4 linked regions of the Tamandua tetradactyla genome follow. The main gene of each other region encodes a partner of the protein of the gene in region 4 in a complex. Links are inferred from orthologs where the notes say so. Each region holds a gene or a part of one and is shown on either strand. Other genes may lie near its edges. The genes, in order: SF3A1, RBMX2, HTATSF1 and SF3B5.

The links.
Region 1: SF3B5 (region 4) and SF3A1 share a complex: the UniProt entries of both Homo sapiens proteins name them as parts of the 17S U2 SnRNP complex. The link is inferred for Tamandua tetradactyla from reciprocal best matches to the Homo sapiens genes SF3B5 and SF3A1.
Region 2: SF3B5 (region 4) and RBMX2 share a complex: the UniProt entries of both Homo sapiens proteins name them as parts of the minor spliceosome. The link is inferred for Tamandua tetradactyla from reciprocal best matches to the Homo sapiens genes SF3B5 and RBMX2.
Region 3: SF3B5 (region 4) and HTATSF1 share a complex: the UniProt entries of both Homo sapiens proteins name them as parts of the 17S U2 SnRNP complex. The link is inferred for Tamandua tetradactyla from reciprocal best matches to the Homo sapiens genes SF3B5 and HTATSF1.

Annotation. Positions count from the first base shown.
Region 1 is NC_135331.1:32,555,003-32,562,941, reverse strand, and holds the start of SF3A1 (splicing factor 3A subunit 1), read right to left. Parts: upstream 3,011-7,939; 5' UTR 2,870-3,010; coding exon 2,807-2,869; exon of another isoform or gene 2,715-2,806; intron 1-2,714. UniProt on the Homo sapiens protein: Component of the 17S U2 SnRNP complex of the spliceosome, a large ribonucleoprotein complex that removes introns from transcribed pre-mRNAs.
Region 2 is NC_135353.1:33,109,269-33,116,719, forward strand, and holds the start of RBMX2 (RNA-binding motif protein, X-linked 2), read right to left. Parts: upstream 3,004-7,451; 5' UTR 2,931-3,003; coding exon 2,926-2,930; intron 2,720-2,925; coding exon 2,604-2,719; intron 1,237-2,603; coding exon 1,185-1,236; intron 1-1,184. UniProt on the Homo sapiens protein: Involved in pre-mRNA splicing as component of the activated spliceosome. As a component of the minor spliceosome, involved in the splicing of U12-type introns in pre-mRNAs.
Region 3 is NC_135353.1:22,881,496-22,889,186, reverse strand, and holds the start of HTATSF1 (17S U2 SnRNP complex component HTATSF1), read left to right. Parts: upstream 1-4,682; 5' UTR 4,683-4,753; intron 4,754-4,930; 5' UTR 4,931-4,999; coding exon 5,000-5,185; intron 5,186-6,983; coding exon 6,984-7,164; intron 7,165-7,691. UniProt on the Homo sapiens protein: Component of the 17S U2 SnRNP complex of the spliceosome, a large ribonucleoprotein complex that removes introns from transcribed pre-mRNAs.
Region 4 is NC_135351.1:43,423,190-43,428,905, reverse strand, and holds SF3B5 (splicing factor 3B subunit 5), read left to right. Parts: upstream 1-4,552; 5' UTR 4,553-4,689; coding exon 4,690-4,950; 3' UTR 4,951-5,214; downstream 5,215-5,716. UniProt on the Homo sapiens protein: Component of the 17S U2 SnRNP complex of the spliceosome, a large ribonucleoprotein complex that removes introns from transcribed pre-mRNAs.

The sequences.
Region 1 (7,939 bases), on a different chromosome or scaffold from region 4:
TATTGGAATATCCATATTAAGTGACCCAAAAATTCCTAATACTTTCCCAACTAGCTTCCTTTTCGTAAATAAAGGGTCAAGTCCCTCATCTTAGAAAAATAAGTTTCTCCCCTCCCTTTGTGTTCATTTCTGCTACTAGCTTTCCCCTGCCCTTCCTCTGGTAGCTAAACATCCTGAGTTCTCTCAGTCTTGCCATTCCTACTTCCTGACCTCCCATTTGGTCCCCATCCATTTCACATGCTCTTACCAAAGTCAAAAACAACTGCCTTCAACCAAAAATAACAGTTATCTGGGCATTTGACCAGTGATCACTCCTTTGCAAAGCTCTCCACTCAACTCCCAGACCCCATTTTTTCCCATCTTTCCTTTTTACTTTCTGACCATCTGTGCTGGTTTGAATTTTTTGTGTACCCCAGAAAAGCCAGGTCCTTTAATTCTCATTCAGTATCACTGGGTGGGCTTTTTGATTATCCATGGAGATGTGACCCACCCAATTGTGGGTGGTAACTTTTGATTAGATGGTTTCCATGGAGTTGTGTCACCACTTATTCAGGGTTGTTTACCGGATCCTTTTAAGAGGGAACCATTTTGGAAAAAGTGTAAGAGCCACAGAGCCCACGCAGCCAGAAACCTTTGGCAGTGAAAAAGGAAAACACCCCCCGGGAGAGTTTCTTGAAACATGAAGCAGGAAAAGAAAGCTAACTGACTTTGCCACGTGTCCTTCCAGCTGAGATAGAAACCCCGAACTTCATCAGCCTTCTTTGAGTGAAGGTAACCTCTTGTTGGTGCCTTAATCTGGACATCTTCATAGCCTTGCCTTAATCTGACATTTCCACAGCCTTAGAACTGTAAACTAGCAGCTTAATAAATTCCCCTTTTAAAAAGCCGTTCTGTTTCTGGTATATCACATTCCAGCAGCTTGCAAACTAGAACACCCATCCTATCCAAGTTTCCTTCCTGGCTCCTGTTTCACCTCCCGCCCTCTAAATTTTGAAGACTCCAAATTTTGTTCTTGGTTCTCTTCATGGAATTCCTGCTGTCGTCAGCAAACCACATCTTCTATTTCCCCTATCACACCTAGGCTGAACAATCCCCCCAAAGCAATCTCCTAGCCCAGATCGCAGTTACATGCCACAGAGCTTTCAATCCAACTGACTCCTAAGCACTTTCATCACTGGACCCTTTCCTTTTGAATGGCCTGGCCAGACACTTGGGCTTTCTCTCCCTTTGTCAGCCTCCTCATCTAATCCCTAAGGATAACAACGGCTAACATTTATTAGGCACAAAAATAGGTCCCCAATGCTTAAGTATTTTAAATACATTAACTCTTGTAACCTTTATAAGCAGCCTATGAGGGAGGCGTTCTTATACTTCCCATTTACAGGTGACCAAACTGAGGCATGGAAAGCTTAATTGGCCCAAATGGCAGAGCCAGAATTTGGAAAGAGTACTCTGTGACAAGGGATTGCCCGTCCCCCTTCCTCAAAATCTAAGCCAAGTCTTCAGCAGTTAAAAAAAAAGGACTGTCTTCTGTCATCTTAGCAATTCTCCACACCAATATCTGAATTTCTAAAACACAAATTTGTCACTATCCTGCTTAAAACCCTTCCTATTCACCCCTTGTCTACAAGAAAAAAGGTCAAATCCTCTGAATACCATCTCCTACCACCACCTTCCTCTTTCCCATCCTATGCTCCAACAAAACTTAGATTTACTCTTGACCAGAGGCATCATCTGCTTCCTACCTCACTTCCAAAGTGCCTCTGTGCTTATCGTTATCAGATATTATCTTGTTTATTCTTTCCCAGTGCCTGGGAAAATGCCTGGGACATAGAGGCACTTAATTATTTATGCCAAAGGCATAGACTTCTTCTGTTGTGTTTCAGTTGTATTCTGAACTGAAAGCAGTGGTCAGCATATAGTACGTGTGCAACAACTGTTTGCTGAATGAATGAAAAATTGTATTTCCCTTTCCCAATCATCTACACAGTGAATTCTTATGTATCCTTCTAAAAGCAACTTATTTCACACTCCTATGAACTTTCACTACTTTAACCTCCCCATCAAAGCAATGTCGATTAAATAACCTTCTCATACCGGCCACATACTTCCATTACCCAGTATATCACTCCACGCTACAATTATTTACACACAACTTTCCCCCTCAGCTGATCGAGAGCCTTTTAAAGTTCGGCCTGAACCGTATCATTTTCGAGATGGGGACAAATATCTGTTGAGTATTCATGCCTGTCTGCCTCCATTAGTCGGTGAGTTTTCTAAGGCAGCGGTTGTGCTTCTTTCATTCCAGCAACTTTGGAGGTTGGCATGACGGCTGGCTTAGAATAAACACCAAGGAGATGCTGAGAATTAACACTCAAATGTGGACTATGCAGGCTGGAAACTCAGAAATTACTGGGCAAAGCTAGGGGCAGAAAACCGGGACAGGGGTTGGGTCAGTGTTTCTCAAACTTTAATGTGCATATGAATCACCTTGGAACCTAGTTAAAATACAGATTCTTATTCAGAAGGTCTGGGGAGGGGCCGGAGATTCGGCATTTCTAACAAGCTCCCAGGTGATGAGGCCGATAGTCCGCGGGCCACACTTTGACAATGACCGTTCAGAAGAGGCCTCTTCGCTACCAGAAGGCAGCGCGGCGCAGGAAGCGCGCTGCCTCCTGGGACTTGCAGTCCCTCCAAGCCCTCCACAGCGGCAGCTTCTTCCTGCATGAGTGAGGAGAACCCGCGCTGGAGGGGAGGGTCCAGGCCTAGGCTCGGGTTGTCGATCGAGGTGCGGGGGGCGCGGTACCTGTTTGGGCTCGGCGGCCACGGGCGGCGGAGGAGGCACCGCCTGCACGGGTCCGGCCGGCATGACTGCGACGCTGAGGGCTGCCAGTCCGCCTCGATGTCGATGAACAGTGTGGCGTCAAAACAGAATCCCCGCACGGACGGGACGACGAGCTAGCAAGATGGCGGCGGCCGAGCAGGTCGTCTCCGAGGAGGCAAGGCTGACGCACTTCCTGACACGCCCACCAGGTTCCGGTCCCATCCCCTCGGGCCGAGCTCGCGCGCTACGCCGTTGCCATGGCAGCAGTCCGGGTGCCAGGCTAGGGGTTGCTGCGCATCCAGGGAAGCCGCAGGCGCGCCGGGGGCAGTTCCATGAGCCGGCCAGACACAGGCTGAGGCTGCGACTTCCGAGAGGGGTGAGATATTCTACAGCACCCCGCTGGATGTCCCCGGCACTCACCCCGGGGCCCTGGTCCCCCTCCTTTAGTCTCAGGCCAGTTTCCTTCTCCCTAGACCCCGCCTCCCAAGGCCCCTTCCCATTGACCTCTCACTTTGGAGAGTCCCCTCCCTTACGCTCAGGCACTTCTCAGAGTCCCATTTCCCTTAACCACCTCATTCGCTTCAAGTCCGTCTCCTCCAGCTCCTCCCAACCCTATTCCAAGTCCCCCACACCCTTAATTCCCACGGGCCTGTCTTTTCTGGGTTCAATCCTCTTCCTTCCATAGCCCCACCCTCAGGCCCCACTGGACCGTCTCTTGGTTGCGTTAGACACCCCCCCCCCGCCCCCATCACAACTACTGGTGCGTCCCTGCATACCCCGCCCCTCACTCCCTTGTGGCACACTCAAATCCCGCCCTCCCGGCTTCCTTCTCAAGTGCCCTCATCCCTGTCCCCTTTCCCCTCCCTCCTAGCTCCAGAGCGTGGGGAGGGGTTGCCAAGCCAGTGCTTGAGCTTCACTTTTTCCACCTATTGATAGAAAGCGGTGCTCTCCCACACCTGCTTCCTCTTGAACGCGCGCGCGCGCGCGCGCACACACACACACACACACACACACACACACACACACACACTCGGCTTGTGTCGTCGATGTAGAATGATAACGGTAGTTAGGACTTATTGAGCATTTACCCTGAGCCAGAACCTGTTGGAAACACTCCGTGCATTGTATCATTTATTCTTCAGAGCAACCTGTTCACAGATGAGGTCAGTGAAGTTCAGAGTTGGCAGAATGGAGCTCCAAACCCAGGCCCTTCTGGTAGTGCAGTTAGCTATTCAGTTTTCATCACAAGTTCCTTTCCGTGTCTCCAGGGATCCAGGCAATTAGAATCCCTGGGTCTGAGATGGATTAACTGCCATTTAGATGGTTTTTGGGTTTCCAAGGTTTATTTTTTTAATTTTTTTTATTTTGCAAAATGACATAATACAAAAAAGCAATACATTTCAAAGCATACCTCAACAATTAGTTGCATTTTTAAAAATATTTTTATTGAGATGTCTTCACACATGCACAGTTCATCCAAAGTATACAATCAGTGGATCACAATATCATCACGTATTGTTACTCATCACCATAATTTTTAGAACATTTGCATCACTCCAGAAGAAGAAATAAAAAGAAAAAACTCATACATCCCATAAGCTTTACTCCTCCCTTTCATCGACCACTGAGATTTCAATCTACTCAATTTTTTTTTTACCCATTATCCACCCCATGTTATTTATATATATTTTTTACTCATCTGTCCATATCCAAAGTGTTTTCAAGGTGGTGATCTTGAATCTTAGTGTGCCTACTGGACCAGGAGGGAGGCATAATCTTTACCACTGGGGGTAGGCTAAGAGGGAACAGCTCCTACTGTTCTCTGGTAGGCAAAAGCCAACCTTGAACCCGAGGAGAGACAGAGTCAGCTGCTCTGCCTACCTAGTGGCAGTGCTGACTCCATAAGCGTCCATCCTCTGTGCCATCACATGGACAGTGCATGGTTGGCAGTTTGGGGCTGAAAGTTATACTCCAGGCCCAGGTAGAGAGAAAGACCGTGTCAAATGCTCCCTCACTTGACACACACCTAAGTGATTCTCAAACCAGTCTTATATTTGCATAGCCCCAGTTTTCAGAAGAAACCATATAATTACCTTGTATATTTTTCAATGTTAGATTTTCCTCTTGTATATTCTTCTTGATGCTTTGCATCTACTGATGCTGCTTCTCTGAACTGAAATCTAATGGAAGTTGGTATTGCAATTGGCCCCGGATGGCAGCTGAAGTTATTTGAAGGTGGAACAAAATGGTGTCTTCCATGAGGAAGCTCCATGAGTCCAGGTGCTTGGCACCTGAATACGCCTCCATCTAGATTGGGACCTTCTGCTTGCTTCATTTATCTCTTTCCTCCTACATCCCAGGAAGGAAACATAGAACGTTTCAGTCTGTTTTTTTTTTCTTTCTTTCCTGTTTGTTCCTTATACTTCACTCCTTGGGGGACATGAAATCTTATGGGCAACAGTATCTCACAAGAGGCTGTCGCCAAGTCAGCACTCCAGTACCACTGTGTGTGGGGTGTAGGCCGGTGCTATAGGAGAGTATGTTCATGTGTGCTATGGGGTGGATATGCATTTCCCTTCCTTGGTGATGGAGCCTATGGAGCTCATAGACCCAAGACTTGCTACAGCAGGACCCTCAGACAGAGATGGTATCTCTTTGAGGCCAAAGCTCCATGTACCTGCTTCATCCCTAGTTTCCAGCATGTAGTAGGTACTCAGGCAATGCTTGCTGAATGAATATGAATCTCATATACACTTGCAGTGTCCAATATGTTAGCTGCTGACCTGTGTGGCTATGGGAAATTTGAAATGGTTGCTGGCTTGAATTGAGATATGCTGTCAGTGAGACAGTACAAAAAAAGAATGTGAATTATCTCCTTAATAATTTTTTATTGATTTCATGTTGAAATGATAATGCTTTATTGGTTATTAAGTTAACTAGAATGCACCATCAAAATTAACTTACCTGTTTTCTTTTTATTTTTTTAATGTGGCTAGTAGAAAATTTAAAACCCCGCCTATATAAGAGATTTTAAATAGAGTTGAGAAGTCGTTCTGGAGGTTACTCTTATACAAGCTTCAGCCAGATGTTATAAATTTCCATGGTGTCCCAAGACCCAACCAAGAGTATTCCTGAAAACCGTAAAGAAAACCCAAGATTCTATCTATGACTCTATAAAAGTTTTACTTATTAAATTTATTTTTCAGAAACATAAAACCTCCCAATTGTTCCTGTGCCTGAAACCTAGAGGTACCAGCCTCTCCCGGAATATCAACCATTTGCATCCCCTACCCCATAAGGTTCGACATCCCTTTTCAACATGAAGAAGTTAGAATGATCTTTGCCAAAATATCCCTGAAAATCAGGGGAATGATCAAATGAGAGGGAGGAGTTAATAACAGAGAATTGAGATTTAACAAAGGATTGTGATTACTAAATCATTATATAGAGATTTCTTTGTAGTTTCTAGTGTATTAGAACAGCCAGAAGGAAATACTTGAAATTGTGGAACTGGAACCACTTGAAATTTGTTCTATAACTTGTACTTAGAAGTTTATTACTTTTCTGTATATTTGTTATGTTTCATAGTAAAAAATGTTTTAAAAAAGTTCACCCATAGCTCACATTATATTTCTTTCGATAGTGCTGCTCTAGAAGCTGCATGGACTAAGAACAGAGATACTGGACTCAGAATCCCAGCTTCCTGAGTGACCTTGGGCTAGCCCCATAACTTCCTGGGGCCTCAGCCTCCTCATTTGTGAAGGAGCCAATAACCCCGCCTTCTTTTGCTTGTTGTAAGCATTCAGGGATTGGCACGGAGTAGGCCCTTCAGTCAAAGCTCACCTGGCTGAAGCATGTCCTCTGTGCTCAGCCTCAAGACAAGGGTCTCCCATCACCCCATTCTTCTAGCCTGGAACACCCTCCCCTTCACCTTCTGGACAGCCTGCTCCTGGCCCCCAGGAAGCCCTCCCTGACTGCCCTCTCACTCTCCATTCCCAGGAACTAAACAGCTGCTTCAGTCCGGTTTCTGCATTGGAGAAAGGAAGCTGGCACTCCAATGAACCTCTGGTGCTGAGCCCCGGAGCCCACAGACCAGCCCAAGGGTTGGAAAATTCAGACACTCCAGTTCTAGCCCTGCAGCAGGCACCTGTGCAGAGGTGAGGGCAGGGCCCCATGCTCTGGGAGGTCAGAGATGCCAGCTCAGCCCTTATAAACCACCCCAGGAGCCATGAAGCTTCCCAGCACCTACCAGCCAAGCAGCTGGGTCATATACTACAGTGAACTCAGAAGACATGGTCCATGTACTTGCAGAGGAGACAGACCAACCACCACAAATAACTCCTCAAATAATGATTTAGTTCCACAGGTGATATGTCCTGGAAAGGAAAAGAAAGGGATGATCTGAGAATTGTAACAGAAGACCTGACCTATCTGGGGTACTAGGGGAGCTTGCCTAAGAAGGAGATACTGGGTCGAGCTCCGAGGGATGTTTCTAAAGACTAAGCCTGAGGATGGAGCACACTCTGGGTGGTGAGGTGCTGGGTGGGGGCAGACCACACCGGGCTGAGAGGCCATAGAAACCTGTAAGCCAGGGGATGACTGGCTGTGAGGTGCCTTTTTTTTTTTTTTTTTTTTTTTTTTTTTTTTTTTTTTAAAGGAAAGACAGAGAAGGAAGGAAGGATAGAAGGAAGGAAGGAAGGAAGAAAGGGAAACATTTTTAAACATTTTCTTGTATTCTGTTTCTCCGTTTTTGTTACATGGGCTGGGGCCGGGAATCGAACCGAGGTCCTCCGGCATAGCAGGCAAGCACTTTGCCCGCTGAGCCACCGCGGCCCGCCCTGAGGTGCCTTTTTAAATAATCCATTCAGCTGCTTAATCAGAGTGCATGGGGATTGTGAGGGGAAGAGGTGCAGGTGGCACCTCAGGGAGGCTGCATTAGAGTTCATGGAGAGGAATGGGTGGTTCTCCATGTAGCCTGGACACAGAAACAGCAGCACTTGGTGCTTGGACATGGGAGTGATGGAAAGGGATTTCACGGAAGTGCTGGACTTAGGGTTGAGCCACAGTGTACCCAGTGGTGGTACCATTTTCTGAGAAAAGGGAGGTTGCCCGGCC
Region 2 (7,451 bases), on a different chromosome or scaffold from region 4:
TGGCTGATCACCACTCAATTCAAGATGAAAGTCTGATGTACTACCACACAAAGAGGTAGAAATTATAGGCTGCACCTGCCATGAACTTCCCGAAGCCCCAAAGCTGAAGAAAGCAGCCTCAGTCCTAGCCAGGGCTCTCTGCCTATGTAGGCTGCCCAGGCCCCCTGGCATGGTCTTTATCTCATGTGCACTGCCCAATCCTTTCCCATGGCCTTCTGCCCTATATTGCCACCCAATGATCTGGCCAAAGCCTGCTGCCCCATAAGTTGCCCAACTGCTCTGCCATGGACCTCTGCCTAAGGGACAGCCCAACTGTCCTGATACGGCAATTCCTCCACCAGGTTATGCTGCCTGTGTTTGCTTGCTCAGCCCCTTTTGCCAAGGTCCTCCGTCATGTCGTCCAACCTCTCTGCAAAGGCTCTTAGCCCCAGAGGGCTACACAATCCACAGGCCGTGGGTCTCTGCTTCTGTGAGCTGCAAAGGCTCTCTGGCCCTGTGGACTGTCTAACCACTCTCTTTAGCTCTGGGTTTGTGTGTGAGCTGCCCAACCCTTTCATACTCACTGACACTACTAGTGTGAGCTGCACACACCCTCTCCCACAGTTGCTGCTGCTACCATCTCATAGCAAAATGAAGAATATAAGGTTCTCCTATTCATTCTTTCTCTCATCAGCCTGTGGGTAAAGAGATCAGCTTTGTTCCTTAACCCTACACTCGTCTAGAAACAAAGAAAGCAAACCACCATCTAAACCTTTCACATTTTCCCCCAATTCCTCCATGCTTTGCTCCTAATCCTACAATGCCACACGAGTGTGGGCCCGGAAGGGCCCTGTGATCATGGATTATCCCCAATTTACAGGATGCCAAGGAGATGGGTCCAACATGGTATCTTCCTGGCAGTTCCAGTCTATTCCAGTGTAGGCCCAGGCTGAACACACCTCAGTGAAAAAGCGATAGAAATTTACTGTAATTCCCCAAGATAGCCCCCCAAATTATTCAACCACTAACATCATCTACAGGGGAGAATCCTAAAATCAAATGTCCTGGGACTGCTCTAGACTAGAGCAAAAGCCCTAGTGCTCCCCACTAAAATTCAAATAAATGGCTTTTGTGATGCCATAAAATGTATTATGGAAGCAAACTACTCTGTCCACCCAGGAAGCAAAAAATTTAAGGGAACTTACTGTGAGAACACACAGATGATGTCTCCTTCAGTCAGTTCATAAGGAAGTCCTCCTAGAAGAGGAAACCACATTTCAGTTCAACAGACATTTCTCAAATGTGTACTACAGACCCTGCACTAGGTCAGACATTAAGGGTGTAAAGAAGTGCTTTGAAATTTATAGCTTTTTTATATACATGTTATTTTTTACAAAAAAAAAGAAGGAAAAAAAAGTCAATTGTGATGATAAAAAAAAAATATTTAAGCCCTCTAGCCTCCTGTATTCTGGAGCAGCTAGAAGGAAAAATATGAGAGGATCATATGGTAGTCCATGACAAACTCTGGGATCTGTCCTGTAACTACTTGTTGAAGAGTGCTTTGAAAACTATTGCTTTTTTATTTCTTTGCTTTGTATATGTGTTATACTATACAATAAAAAAGTTAAAAATAATAAAAAAAAAAAGGGTGTAAAGAAGAGTGAGCCACAGGCTCTGCCTTCGAAGAACTCACGGTCTGATACAATGACAGAGGTATACTTAAGGTGCAGAAGTAGTACAGAAAATAGAGTGATTAGCTCTGTGTGCAAAGACCAGGGTCATCATTAACCAAGCTAAACTGATCACTCAGTCCTCCTCACACGCAAAATCGTAGACAAAGCAGATAGTTTACAGCACAAAACTCTGCTTCCACAAACATATCTTGGATTCATCTGCTCTTTACCCACAAATTTATAGCTAAAATCTATAATCCAGTCAATGTTAATATTAATCCCACCCACACAGACTAAGGATTAGAAAAACAACCGTCAACCATTTCATAGGAAACAAATTTCACTTCAAATGTTGCTTTCTTTATCTGTGAAATGGGGATATTAGTACTTACCTCATGAACTTGTTATAAGAATTAAATAAAACAATGCACATAGAGTGCTTAGCACAATCCCTGGTGCAATAAATAATCTCTCTGAACAAAGTACAGAATTATCGGTTACAACACAAGTGAATATAAGGGATGGCAATACGGCCATGGACAGAAGGCAGCAGCTAATCAGATGAGTAGAATAAAATCTAAGGAGTGGGGTTAGTAGTAATATAGGATAGTAGCTAAGTTTAAGACTTTTGAGTTTCAGAATTCCATAGTTTCGATTTACTAGCTATGTTGTTTAAAATTTTTCGGTTAACTTCTTTGCGCCTCAGTTTCAACAGTATATGGGGGGGTGGGGGGATCTCAAGAAGTCCCGTACAAGGTTTTTAGCACAGAGAACAGATAACAGGAATAGTAACTCCCGTGAGTATCGAGGAAAAAAAGGTATGGAAAACGGGTTTAAGGGTGGATAGCAGATGGATAAAAGCGGGTGATGGATGTGGAGAGGAGCAGAGCGAAGGCGTTAGGAAACCGGCCAGAAGCTGAGGAACACAGGGGAGAAGGATGTGGCCCGTACCTAGGAAGATCCATGCGCTGTCCTTGTACTCGGAGTGCCAGGACACGTTATCCGCCACCCCAAGCTGGACCTCCCGCTCATTCAGTTCGTTGATTAACTTCACCTTGGTTAAGGCGCTGCGGGGGGGGCGGGGGGGGGGAGTGCGGAAAAGGAGACAAGTAAGTGCGGCCCAGCCTAAGGGAAGGCAAAACTAGGGCACTAGACTCTCCAGTTACCACGCCTCTCCCTCTCCTTGGAACCGCAGACGCTCGACCGCCCCAGCCCTCGAAGGCCACCCACGGAAGTCCGATCCCGCTTCCTCAGAAGGAAGGTACCGCCTTACTTCATCTCCGCGGCTCGGAGCTTACAACCTGGGCGTTAGCGTCCGGGCGAAGCTGCAAGGCGCATGCGCAGTCCCGGCGCCGCAGCCCATTGGAGTCGGCGGAGCGTGCGGCGGAAGAGGGCGCGCCGACGTGCAGCGCCTGCGCACAAGCGTGGAAAAGGTTTCCTTCGCTCGGTGTCCCTGTCTCTTCTAGTAAGAGAAAAGAAAGTTTTTTCTAGTCCCTCCTCCTTCCCTCAGTGAAATGAGACAAGGGTGTGAGTCTGGTCTATTACAGGGTCCCCAGCTCCTGGATCATACCTCGCACTGGTTGGGTTGGTCTTAAATGTTTACTGAATGAAGAAGATGCCTGATGTGGCGACTTTTGTCCCACTCCAGGTTCGCCTTCCGAGGTCCCGCTCGGGTCCTCACTCCCAGGAGTCACACCCACATACTCATCATGTTTAGAAGTTATGGCACAAAAATGTAGGATATATGTGAGTGAGTAAATCTTTTGTCGTCCCTCAAATCCCAATACATAAGCAACCGACTGTGCTAAATTGAATATCCCAAATTTGTGAGAGCTGCTACGCTCATCCTTTTCCATGGCCTCTTCTACTTAAGCCAAATTAATAGCTAACATTTGAGCAGATAATGTGATAACCAATGCCAGGTTATGTGCTAAGCAATTAACATGTATTGTCTGTCAATTCTCACAACAACCCCATGAAGTAGATACAATTACCATCTCCATTTTATAGATGAAGAAACCGAGGTTCAAAGGAATTAGCTTGAAAGAGACTCCGACTCTGCCCATCCGGTCAGGTTGACTTAATCAGTCCTTGCCTATCACCTTTATCTGTCCTGTACAACTAGAACCTGTAGCTAGGAGTTATGAGGCTAGCCCTATTGCCCCCAAGGAGCTAATAATGTAATTGAGGTGATAAGATATATTTGCCTAATAGAGGTCATTCCAGAAATATCTAGGACCCAGTAGAAGGGATGGTGGTATATAAACCATGAAGGTTTGAATCCATCTTGCATGTCTCCAAATCAGTGACTGGTCTTGAACCATGATGTTTTAAAAGTGAAGATCCAGAGCTATGTAGTTTTCTGTGTAAGCCTAGCTCTGAGCCACAGAAATTAGGCCCTTTATAAAAACATTTTATCGATGATGATGATTTTGAGAACTCTACCCTCAAGTGGTTCACCATGTACACATTTACTGCCAAGCAACAGAACAGAGGCTGCCTACTTATGATAGTGTCTACTCATTCATTCTGTGTCTATCTCCACTCAGCTATTCATTAACTTTGTAGGATTACCTTGGCAATGAAAACTAAACAATGACAGATTGCATGTGGGTTTTATCTGCTCCTGGAAATCTCAGGTTGCTTAGTTGTAGTGTTGAAGTAGCCGCTGCAAAGTGGTAAGCTAGCATGCAGCATTATCTGGTTGGCTTCTTAAAGTAACTATGAATTGAGAATGCTGGGGGTACACCTGGGGCTCACTCATCCACATTTAAAAAGAAGCTGGAACCCAAGAGTAGGGTTGAGACCAACCAAAGGGAAGAACAATTAAGATTGAGGAGAACATAAGAAGACTGTTGCTCTTGAGGTGGTGGATTCAGCAGTGTGTTCTGAAGCTGGGAGAGCTGATAACCATCCTGGTTTGCCCAGGAGTGAGGACTTTCAGTGGTAAAATTTGAAAATCCAGAGCACATTGGGAGGGTTGATCACCCGAGGAGAGCCTGAAATAGGTAAAAAAGCCGTGTTAGATTCTCCATGGATATGCTTCCAGTTAGTAGAAAATATTGTAAAATAATGCCTGGAGATTTCCATAAGTCAGAGATAAAAGGGGGCAGAGGTCCAGAGGAGGACACAAGGAGGACCAGGGTTTGCCATCCAAGGTTGCGATTGGTGATCTCCACCAATAACATTCATGTAACACCTATTGTATGCAGAGCTCAGATCTAGGTTTGGCAGGCAATGCTAAGAAAGCAAAAGGCAGGACTAAACAAATGCAAGGAAGGACTAAACAATTTGGCTAGCCAAAGTTATCTCTCCACTTCCCCAAATCACACCACACTCAGAAGCAGCTTTTCCTCCTGACTTCCATAGTTTGGGCAACACTAACATCATTTTTATCAAAACCATGGGTGTCACGTTTCAGCATTCACTTTTTCTCACCCCGAGAAAACCATCCAATTATTCACCAAGTCCTAAAAATTGTACCACTGCAGTATCTATAAAATGCATCATTTCCAGTTATCATCTTACTCGAAGTCATTATCACATACCTCCTAGCTCTTTATTTTTAGCTATCAAAATCTGCATTTTACTAAAAATAATATCTTAAAAAATGTTTACTTATACACTAATAAAGTATCAGTGTCTGAGAGAGTTCAAATAAAGTTAAGAGGCTACTCTGGAAGTTAGACATTGTTACCTATTATTTAGACCTTGCTACCTATCATAACTTCCCAACCAAAACCATTCCCAGCCAATCCTAAAGAACACCTAGGGCAATATATAAGATTCTACAAAGGTTGCATGCACTAGGGTAACTTTCCAGAACCCTACAACCTCCAGATTGGTCCCTGGACAAGATAAGTCCTGAAACCTAGAGGGCCCAGCCTCTCCAGAACAACAGCTAGTTCCATCTCCCTACCCCATATTATTGACAGCCCCTTCCAACATGAAAAAGTTAGAATAGGCAAAGCCCAAATACCCCTAAAGAGTGGGATAGAAAGATCAAAGGTGATAGTGGAGAAGGTAGGGTTTAACAAACAAATTTGATCGCTGAATCATTCTATTGATATTTCCTTTAGTCTCCAATATCTTAGAGCAGCAAAAAATAAAAACCTAAAATTGTGGAATTGTAACCCATACCAAACTCTGAAATGTGTTCTACATCTAATTGTTGTGTTGTGCTTTGAAATTTATTGCTTTTTTGTATATAAGTTATTTTTTACAAAAAACAAGTCAATTGTGATGATAAAAAAAAATATGTATTCCTTCTAGCCTCCTATATTCTGGAGCAGCTAAAAAGAAAAATCTGAGAGGATGGCATGATAGCCCATGACAAACTCTTGGATCTGTCCTCTAACTACCTGTTGAAAAGTGCTTTGAAAACTATTGCTTTTTTTCTTTTTTTGCTTTGTATATATGTCGTATTATACAATAAAAAAAGTTTAAAAAATGTTTTTCTCATACAATATATGCAATACATGCTGTTTTCCATCCATTTGAGTTCTTCAGCTGGCATCAAACTCTTAGTCTCTGCCATCTCTGAACAGAGGCAGTTGCAGTCTCTGAAATCTCAAAGATCTTCACAGTCTCATCCCAGTCCTGGTAAATCAAAGCTATAATTCCTTGATTCCTAATCTGGGTGTTTTGGTCAATTCCCTCACTTTCTTCATTAATATTAACAGGCTCTATTATTGGGGCAGTCAGTCTTGGTTAAGTCTTATCTTGCAAAACCATCCCTTAGAATGAAAGCAATATGAAAGATGTTTTCTGCTGTACAGGAAATGAATGTGGATCAACCACAAAGTCAAAGAATGCCATAGTTGTATCAGGATCTTCTCAAAAATAGGTTTGCAAAAATCCCAAGATTCTTTCCACTTCTTTATTCTATGCTTCTTGATGAGATTGGTGTATCAGGATCTTCTCGAAAATAGGTTTGCAACAATCTCAAGATTCTTTCCACTTCTTTTTCTGTTGCTTCTTGATGAGATTTTTCCATTCTTTTTAACTGGGCTGGCAATGCTCTCTTTCTCTTCTATCATGCAAACTTTCTTTGGATAATAGATGTTTGCCTTTGGTACAGGTAGCTCTCCTTGTTTTGAACCCAACAGAAAGTGGAATATACAGGTTTTATTAAAGGTGTTTTCTGCTGTTTTGCCTGATATTTTCTAGGAGTCATAGACTATGAGTTCAAAATCAGAACTATCTTCATCACGGATGAGTTCTTCAGCTTCTAGCAGATTTACACCCATTTGTGCCAATGGAGTTCAGCATATCTTAACATATCAAAGGAATTGAGATCAGAGCGCAGCTACGTTGCTTTCTCTTTTCCCAAATCTGAAGCCAAAAGAAGAAGCATCTGGAACTGCTTCTCTTGCACAGGATACTCCATTAAACAGAGTGTTGGCCTCTTCAAGGACCTCTGTTAGTTTGTCACTGGCATTTTTTTTTTTTTTGGATGGAGTTGATGAGCATCTGGTACTGATAGCAGATCTGGCAGCACAGGCCATGGTCAGTCTGTACCTCCAAGCTGGCTGGGTCCACCCTTTCATCCCCCAAATCCAACAGTTCTGCTTTCTCCAAACTCAGGCACTCCTGGGCCTTCCTGCGCTCCAGCACCACACTACAGCAGGACCTGGTAACAGCAACAAGCAGCAAGTAGCTGTAGGAGTGGCTGCAATCCCTGTGCAGGTCCAGCCCAGTCCTTGGCCCCTCCGAGCTCTTTAAATACTCTTATACTCCCCCCAGCTCCTATTCTCCAGTCCTTTCTCTCTCTGCTCCCACGCCAGGCTTCACATCTAT
Region 3 (7,691 bases), on a different chromosome or scaffold from region 4:
AAGACACATTACGTCTAGAAAGACACGTTGGTATGTGCTAGTGGGTTGTGAGGGAGATCAAATAGGAGGGACGGTGAACGGAATAAATGAGATGAAGATTAAAAATCGAATTTATTTCCACCACCTCTGTGATGCTTCTAATTTCTCATATACTCATGTGATTTGCCTACAATTGTGTTTGTGTTTATTATGTAGTGCGAATCTAGAGATTATACTTTGCTAAAAAGAAAAGATCTTTACAGAATGACTATTCATCTCTATTTTACTATAACTAAATTTGTGCGATTAAAATGAAAATACTTGGGGGTCGGCAAGTATAAAGTACTAAGAATCCGGGGTGGAGTTCTTGCTTTAATGGGCAACACTTACTAACTCAATGCAGTCCTACTTACAACTGCCAGTGATTGATAATGAGGCAAAGTTATTTTTTCACAAACATTGTGAAGAACTTGCCTTATTCACAGTCAGAATAAGTGACCACGTACACGGTGGAATTTGAGGGCCCTTGAGAAGTACCCCCATCTAAAAATCTTCAAGCCTGCCCCAGTGTCTGAACGTCCTTTATGAGAATTCATTTCTCTCTGGCAAGCAGTGCCCTCTTTCTTAAAAAATGCAGAAGTGCCACATGAAATACCTAATACCTAGGTGTGCAGTCGTTATCATATCATCTTCCTGCTCAACTCTATTAACCCAATGTGTGCCTAAGTCCCGTAGGAGTATGGCCTAATCTGCCCTTGGAAATCAGATGGAAGGTTCTGATTTTCTATCCTTAGCTCCTACTTGCTAACACTATAAGCTTCTTAATGATTATTTCAAACAACTATTGTCAACAGACATGTCAGACTTAGATTTGTGTTACTTTCAGAAAGTGTTTTGTTGGGGCAAATTAAAGCATACACTTGGTATAATTGTTAATACTGTATTTTTAAAAACTTGATTGTTGGGCGTGCTTTTGGTAGTTTTGCGTTTTAAATGGCTTGTGTAACTGTGAACTTTCGTTAATCCTGTGGCTCAAAAGGGGGATATATATTAACACTAGACTTTAAATTTCTGTAAAACTGGTTTACTTAAAGTGGAGGTGCCTATATTGTATTATTATTGTTTCAAAATGGACACTGTAATAAGTGGGGGGAGAGGGACAAAATAAATATGAAATAAAGTTTTGAATGACTTTCTGTAACTTTCTATTCTAAAAACAATACTTCTGAAAGAATATAACTGACCACCCATTTTAGTTTCAAAATTCAAATTATATTCGAGTCACAGTATGCAAAAATATATTCATTATTTTCCTCACTCAGAGTAAAAGTGTACATCTTCATTCCCCTAGGTGTGACATTTTAGAAATAAAAGCTTGATAATACCAGATTACAAAAGCCAAGACAACCTTTTAGCAGCTGATAAAAATGGAGCTCAAAGAACTTTCTTCATTCTCAGTGTTCCCTAAGTGACTTAGGGATCTGATTTAAAATAATTCCCTAAGTGATTTTATAGGGCATCAGCTTCCCATCCAAAGTTGGGGGGTCGCATTTAAAATTCATGGTTTTGTTTTGTCGATTTTGGGGGAATGGGGTTGGTTGGGTTTTTGTTGTTGTTCTTGTTTTTAACAGATTATCCTTGTCAGGGCTAACCTTGCAAACAGGCTCCAATCTACAAAATTTCTTTTACATTGCCTATTGTGGCACCATTTCCCTGGAGAAGGTCCTAAATGGAGAAGACGTGGGCTTCATGAGAAACAAATTTAATGTGCTTCTCAGTTTTGCTCAAGGTCTTCCCTGACCCAAGGCTTTGAATAATGGAACATAATAATACACTACAAAGCATGAAAACAAGGTCACAAAGTTAGGTATAATCAATTCGTTCAGTGAGCCAGTCCCTAACATTGAACTTGAAAGCATTGCAAAACATTTACCACTGACATACATGCTGAGAATAGCAAATTTAGGTTTAAATACTTTGTGCAGTTTTAACCATTTTAGGTCAAGGGTCCTCCAAATTTTTTGTTTCAGAAGGAGTTACTTTCATTTCCACTAAATTTTGGGATTACAGGAAGTGGGGACAGAAAAATTCCTGAACAGAATGGGCTTAACAGCACCACTAAAAAAAAAAGTCTAGTTTGGTAAGTTCAGTAATTTCCCAGAGACAGTTCCTAGGCCAGATAGGTGATTTTTTCAACCAGCCGTCTCTGCTTTTGTAGATTAATGCATTTTTTTATCCACCAAGAAGGCTGTAGCCTACAGGACTGGAGTACCACACAAATCACCCTTGAAAACTTAGAGAAAAAAGAAGAAAGCAGATATTCAGAGAAAAGCAGACTGTCTGGGTTTCAATTTGTTCCTCTTCCTGGGTCCAGTAGCCCCTTGAAGAGGCCAATCTACATTCCAGTCTTTGAGTTTCAGCTCCCCTCTCAGCCGCCCCCCTCCCCACCTCGCCTTTTGCTTGTTAACCTTGAATACTTCTCAGACTTGGAGAAAAATGTTGAGAAAGAAAGGTTGCAAAGACAGATTACATCACTTACTAGGGAGTTATTCTACAATACACAGGGAAATAAGAACAAACAGGAACCACGCCACAAAATGCTAACGTTAGAAATGCAACTGTCAGTTCTCATTGCCATACAGAACGTCATTGCAGGTACAAGTGTACTTAGTTCCCAACCCCACTGCCCTGTTACTATGGGGTCTCAGTGACCCTCTGTTGTTGCTTTGACTTTTCCTCTCACTTCTAGGGGAAATTCTGAACAGCAGGCCTCCTGTACTCATTTCAGCCTTCCCTGTGGGTATCTCAGCTTCTGTGCTACCCTGACAACATCCCTCTCCGTATGTTTCATGCTCAAACTCCCTGAGAGAGAACCGTATTGGCTCAGTCAAATATAGCCTAGAATGCAGAGCTACCCAGCTAGATGAACTCACAGGCCCCTAGCCAGCCCTTGGGCTATGGCAGCTGGGTTACATGGGAACTAGGCATATGGAACCTTTTTGGCTACCTGCTGAGAACGGGGCTGTGGGCACAGCACGCACTCAGAGCTTCACGTGCAGTAGAGCTATGCACAATATCAGCACCTACCATTAAACTCAGGAATGAAATGGGAGCCCAATAACACATTGCTGAAAACAGCTGTATACTATTTTTGAATCCAGGAAGAAATATTTAGCAATGTTTAAATGAGTCTAACAAACCTCGTGTTATCTATATAATAAAAATGTATGCAAACAGGAATTTTATGAAAAAGAAATATAATTGAAAAAATCAAACTGCTAGTTTAAAACTTTGCTATGGTTGAAACCATAGATTCACACGACTGTTATATGCAGGGATGCAGGATTTTCTAGAATCCACACTCAGCTGTTATGTTTAGAAGCAAAGGTCAGTGGAATACTAGAAATAATTTCTTCTGGGAAGACTTTCCTCACCCTCAAGTCTGGGTTATATTTATGCTTACACACAATGGGTTTATTATTATTTTTAAATGAATCAATAGATATTTAAAAAATGTTTTCAGCAAACATTGACAAATACAATCCACATAAACAAAATCTCTCTGGGGTCCTCAATAGTTTTTTAGTGTAAAGGGGTTCTGAGATGAAAATTTTGAGAAACGCTGTTCTCCAGCGTCTGGTACTTTCAAGATAACATTTACCAACCAACATAAGCCTGTCTTCCCTAAGCAGTGCCCGTCCTGTTAACCCCTGGGTCCCCAGGGGCGAGTCAGGTGCCTGGCGCCTCGTACGAGTTCAGTAACTATTTGCCCAATTAAAAATTCGTATTTGCACCACTTAAGATGGGCTCACCATTTTCAGGGGGAAAAAAGGTTGTTTAGAGCAAAGCGTACTGCGTCTTTCTAAAAGAAAGCCAAAATTACAGTTGGCTACTAAAGCTGATACTGACGCTTGGATGTTCGTTCAAGTTTCATGTTTTGGCCCTGAGCACTCCTGAATCCTGGAGAACAAGATACAAGCAACTGCAGCCCCGCCTCAGTTTCCCAGAGTTTATCTCCAGCAGGAAAAAGGTAAGATCAGATAAAGGAGGTGACTGAGAAGTGGAAAGGAGGTTGGTCCTTCCACCCATCGTTCATTCGTTCATTCACTCACTCGACATGGATTAGGCACCAATACCCTGGCGCTAGGCGCCTGGAATACCAAGATGACAAGAGCAGGCGCCTAGGCTGGGGAAATAATAAATAAATAAAAGACACGACTAGGTGGGAGGGAAAGGCCTCTGGGCGAAAGGGTTACGATTTTTTCCCACTGCGAAAGTAGCCGGTCCTGCCCGCCCCGCCCACTTCTCCAAGATGGCGCCCGCCTAGGAGGAATATTCCCACGCCTTCTGGGAACCACGCGAGCCGACCCACCCGGCAGCCGGCTGAGATTCCGAGGTCTTGCGGGAGCCGCGCGGCCACCCCCGGCCCAGAGGCGGGCCCAGTGGGCGTCCACGCGCGGGCGCAGCGCACTCCCTGGCGCCCCGCCCCCCCGCGCCCAAGACCCCACGCCGTGCCCGCACGCCTGCGCGTCGGCGCATGTGGACGCCGCCTGGGGGCGTGTCGGCGCGAACCGCGACGTCGCGACGCGCCCACAATGGCGACTGCGTCAGGCTGAGCGGGGCCCCGTTTTGAAGCAATTTCCTGACGTTGCCGCGGGAGCCGCGGTCGCCTCAGACCCGCTCCGTGGCGGCAGCGGCGGCGGCGGTGGCGCGCGCGCGCTTCCGCCGCGCCCTGGACAGAGCCGCGGCGCCGAGGCCCGGCGGAGTGAACCAGGTGGGCGGCGGCGTGACCGAGCTGGGAGCATCAGCGCGCGCGGGCTGGAGGCCGGGCAGAGCTGGGGGCGGCGCGGCCACCTAGGGGGCACCCGTCTCCCGGGGGCTGCTGGGCGCCGGGGGCGGGGTGGGGCGGCCGTGCGCGGGCCACCGGGGCGGACCTCTCTTTCTCTACTAGCCTCCAGCGTCATCTCGCTTCGCGGCCTCTTCACTCGCTTGGACCCTGCCGCTGGGCTAGGTAGGAAACATGAGCGGCAACAACTTGGATGGGAACGACGAGTTTGATGAGCAGTTGCGAATGCAAGAATTGTACGGGGACAGCAAGGACGGCAGTAACCAAGAAGATCCTGGCGAAGAAACTGAGGCTTGCGAGCAGCAGCCGGCCGACACCCCCTACGAGTGGGATTTGGACAAGAAGGCTTGGTTCCCCAAGGTAATAAAGTGGCACCGGCGCCACTGCAGAGTGGGCCCGCCTGGCCAGCCTTACGGGGCACTTCTTTTACATTTTCTTTACTGAGTGAGAACTTTGGTTTTAGCCCCCGTGGATAGTGACGTTTCGTTTTGTTGTTGTCTATTGCAGAACCGATGTGTAGAGGAACGTAATCTTTAGGGAAATGTCTTAAATGTAATTAAATCTCTTCTCTGCCTTACTAATTTTATCGGTGGAGGTCACAGTTGGTTACTACATCCGTGACTGCTTTTTATTGCAAAGAGGAAAAATACCAAGAACAGATACAGTAGCTGTTCATCTCTCGTTGCTACCCTCACTTATCCTGGGAATTCACATTTTTAGTTTATGTACCATGCGCAAAATGCAATTCTTGATTTAAGGAAAAAGATAGCCGTTTATGTATCTTTATTGATTGGACTGTCTGCACCGCTCTTTTCTACTAAATTTGGCCCCTAGGTTTGGACTCTCTGATGCATGTAACTGCAGAACTGTGACAAGAGATGCACAGAATATGGATGGCAAAGATCTGTCTATATGTGTTTGGAATACTTGGAAATTATTAGGTGTTTTATTTAAGCTTGGAAGAAAAATACTAGTCTTCAGCTTGATTCTGTAAGCATGGCGGTGAAAGTACTATGTTAACCTGAGTCTCATGGGTAGGAAAAAAAAAATAGAAATAGCACTCTGGCAAGCCAATAATAAAAAACATGTCTCCATTGTGTAATTTGACTTATTTAATAAAATTTATTTAAATTTTTTTTCTTTTCCATTTTGTATTTGTGTATATGTACCGATTTTTACCAACTGTTAAATTACTTTTTCACTTCTATACTGATAGTGCTGGCTGGAGTGCAGATGTGGTTTTTTCAGCCTTCTGAGAAGTACTTTTTTTTAAATGCGTAGGCAGGTACCGGGAATCGAACCCGGGTCTCTGGCATGGCAGGCAAGAATTCTGCCACTGAGCCACTGTTGCACTGCTCTGAGTAGTACTTTTAACAGTAATCTGATAATGAATTAATTTGTAACTCTATCTTTGGTATTTTATGCTATGAAAGCCTGTATCTTTTCAAACTTTGAGTTTAAATTTTCCCTATTCCTTTGTGTGCCTAACATTGACTGGTATGAAGATACAAGTACAATTCTTTCATTGTGTTTTTATATCCCCTAAAGGCACGGTACATAGATGTGAGTTGGGTTTGTCCTTAATTTATTCTGCCGCTAAATGATAATGTGATTTAATTAGTGATAGAGTTAAAGTGAGCATATAGTTTTGCAATTGTTAGTTTTATTTCTATTCATTGAATCAGGATTCCAGTCTACGTGCTTTCTGCATACAAATATTTAAATACTTAGAATATACATGTATTTGTGCATCTTTATAGTAACATAAATTGATTTTATGGTTAGATTATTAGTTGTCTCTCGATTTTTATCCTATTGTTATCTGGTACTTCATTATATGTACTTGTAGCTTTGTTTAAGTAGATGTTCTAATTTATAAATGAAACAATATTAAAGGTATTAACTTCACTTAAAAGTATCTTAATGTTTTCTCACATGCTTGTTTTTGCTATCCAAGGGCCTGTGCCTTATTTTTTTTCAGTTTATGCAGTTTCCCTATATAAGATGACAAATTTTGCATTTATACTTTAAGTGTCACAGAAACACTTCTATGTTAATTTGTATAACTGAATATGCTGTGATTTAATATAGTTTAGACTTTGTGTGGGAGGAAGTAATTTTGCATTTCTTATGTGTATGTGCTGAATCTCTTGTTCAGATTACTGAAGATTTCATTGCAACATATCAGGCCAATTATGGCTTCTCTAATAATGGCGCCTCTAGCTCTACTGCAACTGTACAAGATATGAGTGCTAGGACTGCAGAGGAACCTTCACAAAAAAAGGCCCCTGAACCCACTGATCCCAAAAAGAGGGGAGAAAAAAGAAAGGCTGATTCAGGCAAGTGTTTCTAGTTTGCAAAAAAACATGAGTTTCAAAGTAAAAATGTACATGTATATATAGTTAATTTTTGGGAGAATTTGTGGTAGCTTTGAAGGAATAATAAGAAGTGTTGTTTTTTTTAAGATAGCGTCATGATCCAGCCCCTTCCAACATGAAAAAGTTAGAAGGGCCGTAGCCCAAATATACTCCTAAAGAGAGGAATAGAAAGATGAAAGTTGATGGTGGAGTTACACAGAGAAGTTAGGATTTTCTAAATGAATATGATTGCTGAATTATTAAATTGATATGACTTTTAGTCACCATTATGTTAGAGCAGCTAGAAGTAAAAACCTCAAATTTTGGAATTGTAACCCATACCAAACTCTGAAATATGTTCTACAGCTAATGTGGCAGTGTACTTTGAATTTTATTACTTTTTTGTATTTATGTTATTTTTCACAAAACAGAAAAAAAGTTTGATTGTCATGATAAAAAAATATATTTATTCCTTCTAGCCTCCTGTATTCTGGAAAAATCCTTTCTGG
Region 4 (5,716 bases):
AAAAGATTCCTATGAAGGAATTTTATTCTTGGAGATGCTGGAAAAAGATACCTGGGTCTTGTGAATTACTTAAAATATGCTGGAGAGGAATAAAACTGAAGGATGTTTTTCTTAGAAAACTATCGTTTGTGAGATTTATCTAACCAGAAATTTGAAGATTTATTTAATAAGGTAGTCCTTGCTTTGCATAGTTCCAATATGCGTGAACATCTGGCGCTACAGTTAAGTTAGATGACACCAGGCTGCCAAAAATGCAGTCAAAATTTCAGTTACCACAGTGCTATGAACAGCTGCATTACGCAAAGACTTTGTGCTCTTCTGTCTATAAATCATTACGCAAATAACAAATGTGCATCATGATCGATGACAAATCACATAATTTCTTCAGTCTGCTTTGGTCACTGGGCATCTGTTACCCAATTCACGTACAAGCAACAAAGTGTGCAGACGCACAGCCTTGTTGTCTCCCAGTGATAAGCTTAGTGACATTTTACAAAAATGGATGACAGAAAGAGGGAATTGGTCAAGGTGAAAAGATGATGGGGCAATGAAGAAATGCAAAGTGATGATGCTGGAAGTGAAATTGTATGTGATCAGAATATTTGAAAGTGGTGACAGCAAAGCCAAGATAGGAAGACACCCAGCCCTGCAGGAAGCTACAGTATGAACCAGATTGAAAAAACCCAGTGAATGCAGAAAAACAAGGTAAAGTAACTTTAACATCTTCTGGCATAAACTGCACATAGGAACAGCAAGTCTCTCATGGTGAAATGGAGGGTTTACTTCAACTCTGGATGGAAGACTGTAGTGAAAAACAAATCCCAATCAGTTTGACTAGCATTCAGGCCAAAACGTTGAAGGTAGTTGCTACATTGAAAGAAAATGTTTTTTACAAGGAGACCGAAAAGGACATTTTACTGTCAGAAAAGGCTGGTTTCATCATTTCAGAAGTCAGCCTAAACTGATGAATATTAAGCTATCTGGCGAAGCTGTGGGTTCAGATAAAGATGCTGTGGTGAAATTCAGCCTCAGATCCCAAGTGTTACAGTTAATCCTTGTTTTGCGCAGTGGTGCAGGGTAGTACTGTAGGAAACTTTTACAGGATTCAAATGGAATGGAAATGGAGTTACAGAAGGTACAGCCGACTGTGGGAATGTCGACACTGCTGCTGCTCAAGAGACTTTAGATGTGCAACCAGAGGAACTTCATGAAGGTGACTTGTAGACATAAATGAAGAAAGTGGTTGTGATTAAAAGGATAAAGATGTCTCAGAGGAAGTGATTCTGGCAAGAAACTTCATAGGAAAGGAACTCTTAAAGACATTTCATGACATTGAAAGTGCAAAGGATAAAATTTTGCATGCTCATCTAAACTTAGGAGAATTACAATTTGCCATGTCATAGAAAAGAGGGTAGCTCCACATCGTAAGTTATATGATGAGAAGACAAGCACTGTTAAAACCACTGTTGATAAATTTACAAAGAAATAAAATTTTAATTCTCAAAAAAAAAAAAAAAAAAATACCCAGGGCTCCAAGACTCTATAAAGCTTCACTTACTAAGTTTATTTTTCAGAAATCTGAAACCTCCAGATGGTTCCAAGCCAGATAAGCCCTGAAACCCGGAGTTATTAGTCTTTCCAACAGCATCAACCAGTTGTATCCCCTACCCATAATGTCGACATCCCTTTTCAGCATGGAGAAGTTAGAATGGTCATTGCCCAAATATTCCTAAAGAATGGGAGCCAGATCAAAGAAGAAGGAGGAGTTGCAATAGGGAACCTAGAATTTAACAAATGAGTATTACTACTAAATCATTATACTGATATTTTTTAGTCTCCAGTGTCTTAGAGTAGCTAGACGGAAATACCTGAAATGGTAGAACTGTAACCCATACCAAACTTTGAAATTCGTTCTAAAACTACTTGTTAAAATGTACTGGGGAATTTATTGCTTTTGCATATATGTTATATTTCACAATAAAAAATTATATATATATATATAAAAGACTAACCAAGACATTTATGAAAGAAGAAAACTGTGAGGGCTTGGCCCCTATTTTATTACCTGATACAAAATATCTTTTATTGCCTTATCTTACAAAATAGCAAGACCCTCCACCTGTGCCAATGGACCAGAATGCCCTGGCACAAACCCACACATATATAAAAGAAGCATTAAAGATGATCAGAGAACAGGTGAACTGTTTAGTGAATCATTAGTTATTACAGGGACTGGCTACCCATAGGGGGAAAAATTAAAAATTCGATCCTTAAAATAAGTCAAATCTCCAGGTGGACTCATCTTAAATATGAAAACGCAGAATTTTAAAATTTTTAGAAGAAAATAGAGACTATTTCAATGGTCCCAGTGCAGAAAAGAGTTTTCCTTAATTTGGTTTAAACCAAATACAAAAAGCCCAAACCATAAAGGAAGACTGATAAATCTGACTAAATTTAAGAACTTCTATATAACAAAAATTTCTTTACATTTTCTGTAAAAAAAGACACCATAGTGGGCAGGCCGCGATGGCTCAGCAGGAAGCGTTCTCACTTGCTATGCCAGGGACCCGGGTTCGATTCCTGTTGCGTAACCATGTAAAAAAAAAAAAAAAAGGACACCATAAAGGACCACATACTTTCGTCACCCATAACTTGCAAGCCTGATATTCTGGTTATTTAAAGATCTCCTAATAATTAGTAAGAAAAATACCATCATCCGATAGGAAAGTGGGCAAAGGAAAGGAAATGAACATGCAGTTCACAGAAGCAGAAATCCACGTGGATACAGTAAACATGTATGGAGATGCCCAGTCTTCCTTGTAATCAGGGACATGCTAATGAAAGCCACAACGAATTCCATTCTACGCATCAGATTTGCAAATTTAAAACGTCTCAGGGGCGCACGGGTTGTTCAGTGGTAGAATGCTCGTCTTTCATGCAGGAGACCTGGATTCGATTCACCGACCATGTACCCGCACCCCACCCAAAGTCTCAGGACACCACATGTCCGAAGAATGTGAAGGGACAGGGATTCTCATTCCGCGCACGGTAGACGCACTCTGGAGAGCACCTCGGCAGGATCCAGCAGAGCTTGCCAACACTCACGCCTGCGTCCCAGCAGGGCTAACCTCACGTGCAGGCCCAAGAGGTATGAGTCTCCATGAGAACATTCATCGCAGTTTTGTCTCTAACAACGAAAATCTGGAAATAATGTCCGTTCTTCAGAGTGGGCATACTGCACAACGGTATAAATGAACTAAAGGTATACATTGTATCCAAAGGATACTGAGGCGTGACTAAAGCAACATTTACAGCACATACAACGTGCCACTTACACGAAACCTTAAAACCTGCCTGACGGCACCACCCATTGCTCGTGGACACACTTTCAGCAAACGAGACAGGCTGAGGGATGGTGAACTCTAAGTCCCCGATAGCGTGGTGAGGCGAGCATACTAGGGAGGGGAAACACGGAGAATTGCAAGTTTATTTGTATCTAACAAAGAAAAAACAAAGTCGGGGGGAGGGGGGAATGACAAGGTTTGATAACTCTGCAAACCCACAGGTATTGTAAGGCTTGATTTAACCTATTACTGCCAACTTCCCAGAAAGATCATCACAATAATCTGCTGACGAAGCGAAGCCAAGTCTATCACTGCGGTACGTGAAGGGGGACCCCCACCGTGCAAAGGCTCCGCCGTGCAGAAAGGGGCGACCCGGGGGGACATTTATAGGGCTTGAATCTCTGCCCGCAGGAACGGAATGTTTACCGGCCTAACAGGCAGAACACGAATGCCCTAAAGGTCTCTACAACCCGCCCTCTTCAGCGGCGGTCCGGCTGTCCCTCCGACCCGAAGGTCCGGGGCGCGCGGAGGCCGCAGGCGCGCAGGCCCGACCGGGGAACTTCCCCAAACCCACACCGGGCGGCGAAGCGGCGGGAAGGAGGAGCCGCTCGCGCGAGGAGGCCGGGGCCGCCGCAGCTGTCTGGAGCGGGCAGGGCGGGCTTCCAGATGCTTTCGCGCTGAGCTAAGGGCGGGGGCGCGTGCCAAGGGGACCAGGGCGTTCCGGGCGCGGGAACGGCGCGTCCCGGGCGGGCTGCGCGCTGGGCGGCGGGGGCGGGCCGCGAGCGCGGGGAGGAGGCCCGACGTGGCGGGGAGGGGCCGCGGCGGCTCGGCGAGCAGGCCGGCAGCGCGAGGCCCCTCTCCCGGCCGCCTGTGGCCCCTCGTCTTGCGCCTCCCGTTCCCCGGGCCCACGGCCCCGGCCCACGAGGTGGCTCCCCGCCCGGCAGGCACCGCCCGCCATTAAGGTTCCGAGGCGACCCGGGCCCGGCCTTCCCCAGGCGTCTGCGCGCGCAGGCCCGCGGCGCTCGCGAGTCCCCGGATGCAGGCACCCTCAGGCCGCCACGAAGCCCATCATGCCACGCGACGGGGGGCGGGGCTGTCCCGAGAGGGGCGGGGCGGTGGCTTCGTGGCCTAGGCAACCCCAATTTGGTGCCGGAACACGCTTCCGCTTCCGCCTCGGAGACCTGTGGCCGGCAGGCCACGCGGCGGCGGCGGCGCCGTGACGCCATCGCCTTGCGACTGTGCGCGCCGACGAGCTCCCAGCCGACTTCCACCCGGCGCGAAGCTTCGGAGCGGCCGCTGCTGCTCGTCCGCAGTCCCTGGCCCGGAGCAGAGGGAAGACGGCGACATGACGGACCGCTACACCATCCACAGCCAGCTGGAGCACCTGCAGTCCAAGTACATCGGCACGGGCCACGCCGACACCACCAAGTGGGAGTGGCTGGTGAACCAGCACCGGGACTCGTACTGCTCCTACATGGGCCACTTCGACCTGCTCAACTACTTCGCCATCGCCGAGAACGAGAGCAAGGCGCGAGTCCGCTTCAACTTGATGGAGAAGATGCTGCAGCCGTGCGGGCCGCCGGCCGACAAGCCCGAGGAGAACTGAGCCCCGCCGGGCCGCCGCCTCCGGGGCCGCCGCGCACGCCCCCCTTGCGCACTGGCGCCTTCCGGGGACGTCCCTCACGCCCCGCCGTCCTGGGGACCCTTCGGAGCACCGCTCCGGGGCCGGCGGGACCCCTGAGCACTGGGGCCGTGGGGAGAGCCTAGAGCCGGCCAGCGTGATGCAAGGCGGCTGCGATTTGGAAGTTCGTTTTGTGACTGGTCGATTGTCGTCTTGCTTTTCACCATAAAGTTTAGAAATTGTTCTGTTTCTTGGTGTGGAATCCTTGTGTTCGAGCGGAGCGGTCCTGGGAAGGCTTGGGGGCTGACGTTTCTTTGGGCGTCCCAACAGGAGACGGCCGGCGTCGCGGGGCCAGCCTTCCCTGCCTGACGCTTAAATCCTTCCGGCCCCAGCTTTACCATATTCCCCCATCCCGAATTTTCCCAAGCCTTTTTTTCCTTCTGATCAGGCCCACAATGCCTTAAGGCATTTCCCTCCCCTGTTGAAAGTCTTTGCTGTGGTTGCCCTCTCTGCTCGCTGTCCAGCGCCACCCCTCATTCTCGTGGGACTTTGTGGCTATGCTTTCAGGACTGACAAGCTGCCATACAAGTTCGTTCTTCACTCCACGTTCACCAAATATGTGTTGAGGTCTATGTCGCATTTTCCCCAGGCTCTTGGGGCTTCCGTCATACTGGTGGGATTGAGATATTGGGGTTAGGGGGTGGGGGACCAGATAAACTATAGACATAAGCAAATATTGGAAGATGAGAGG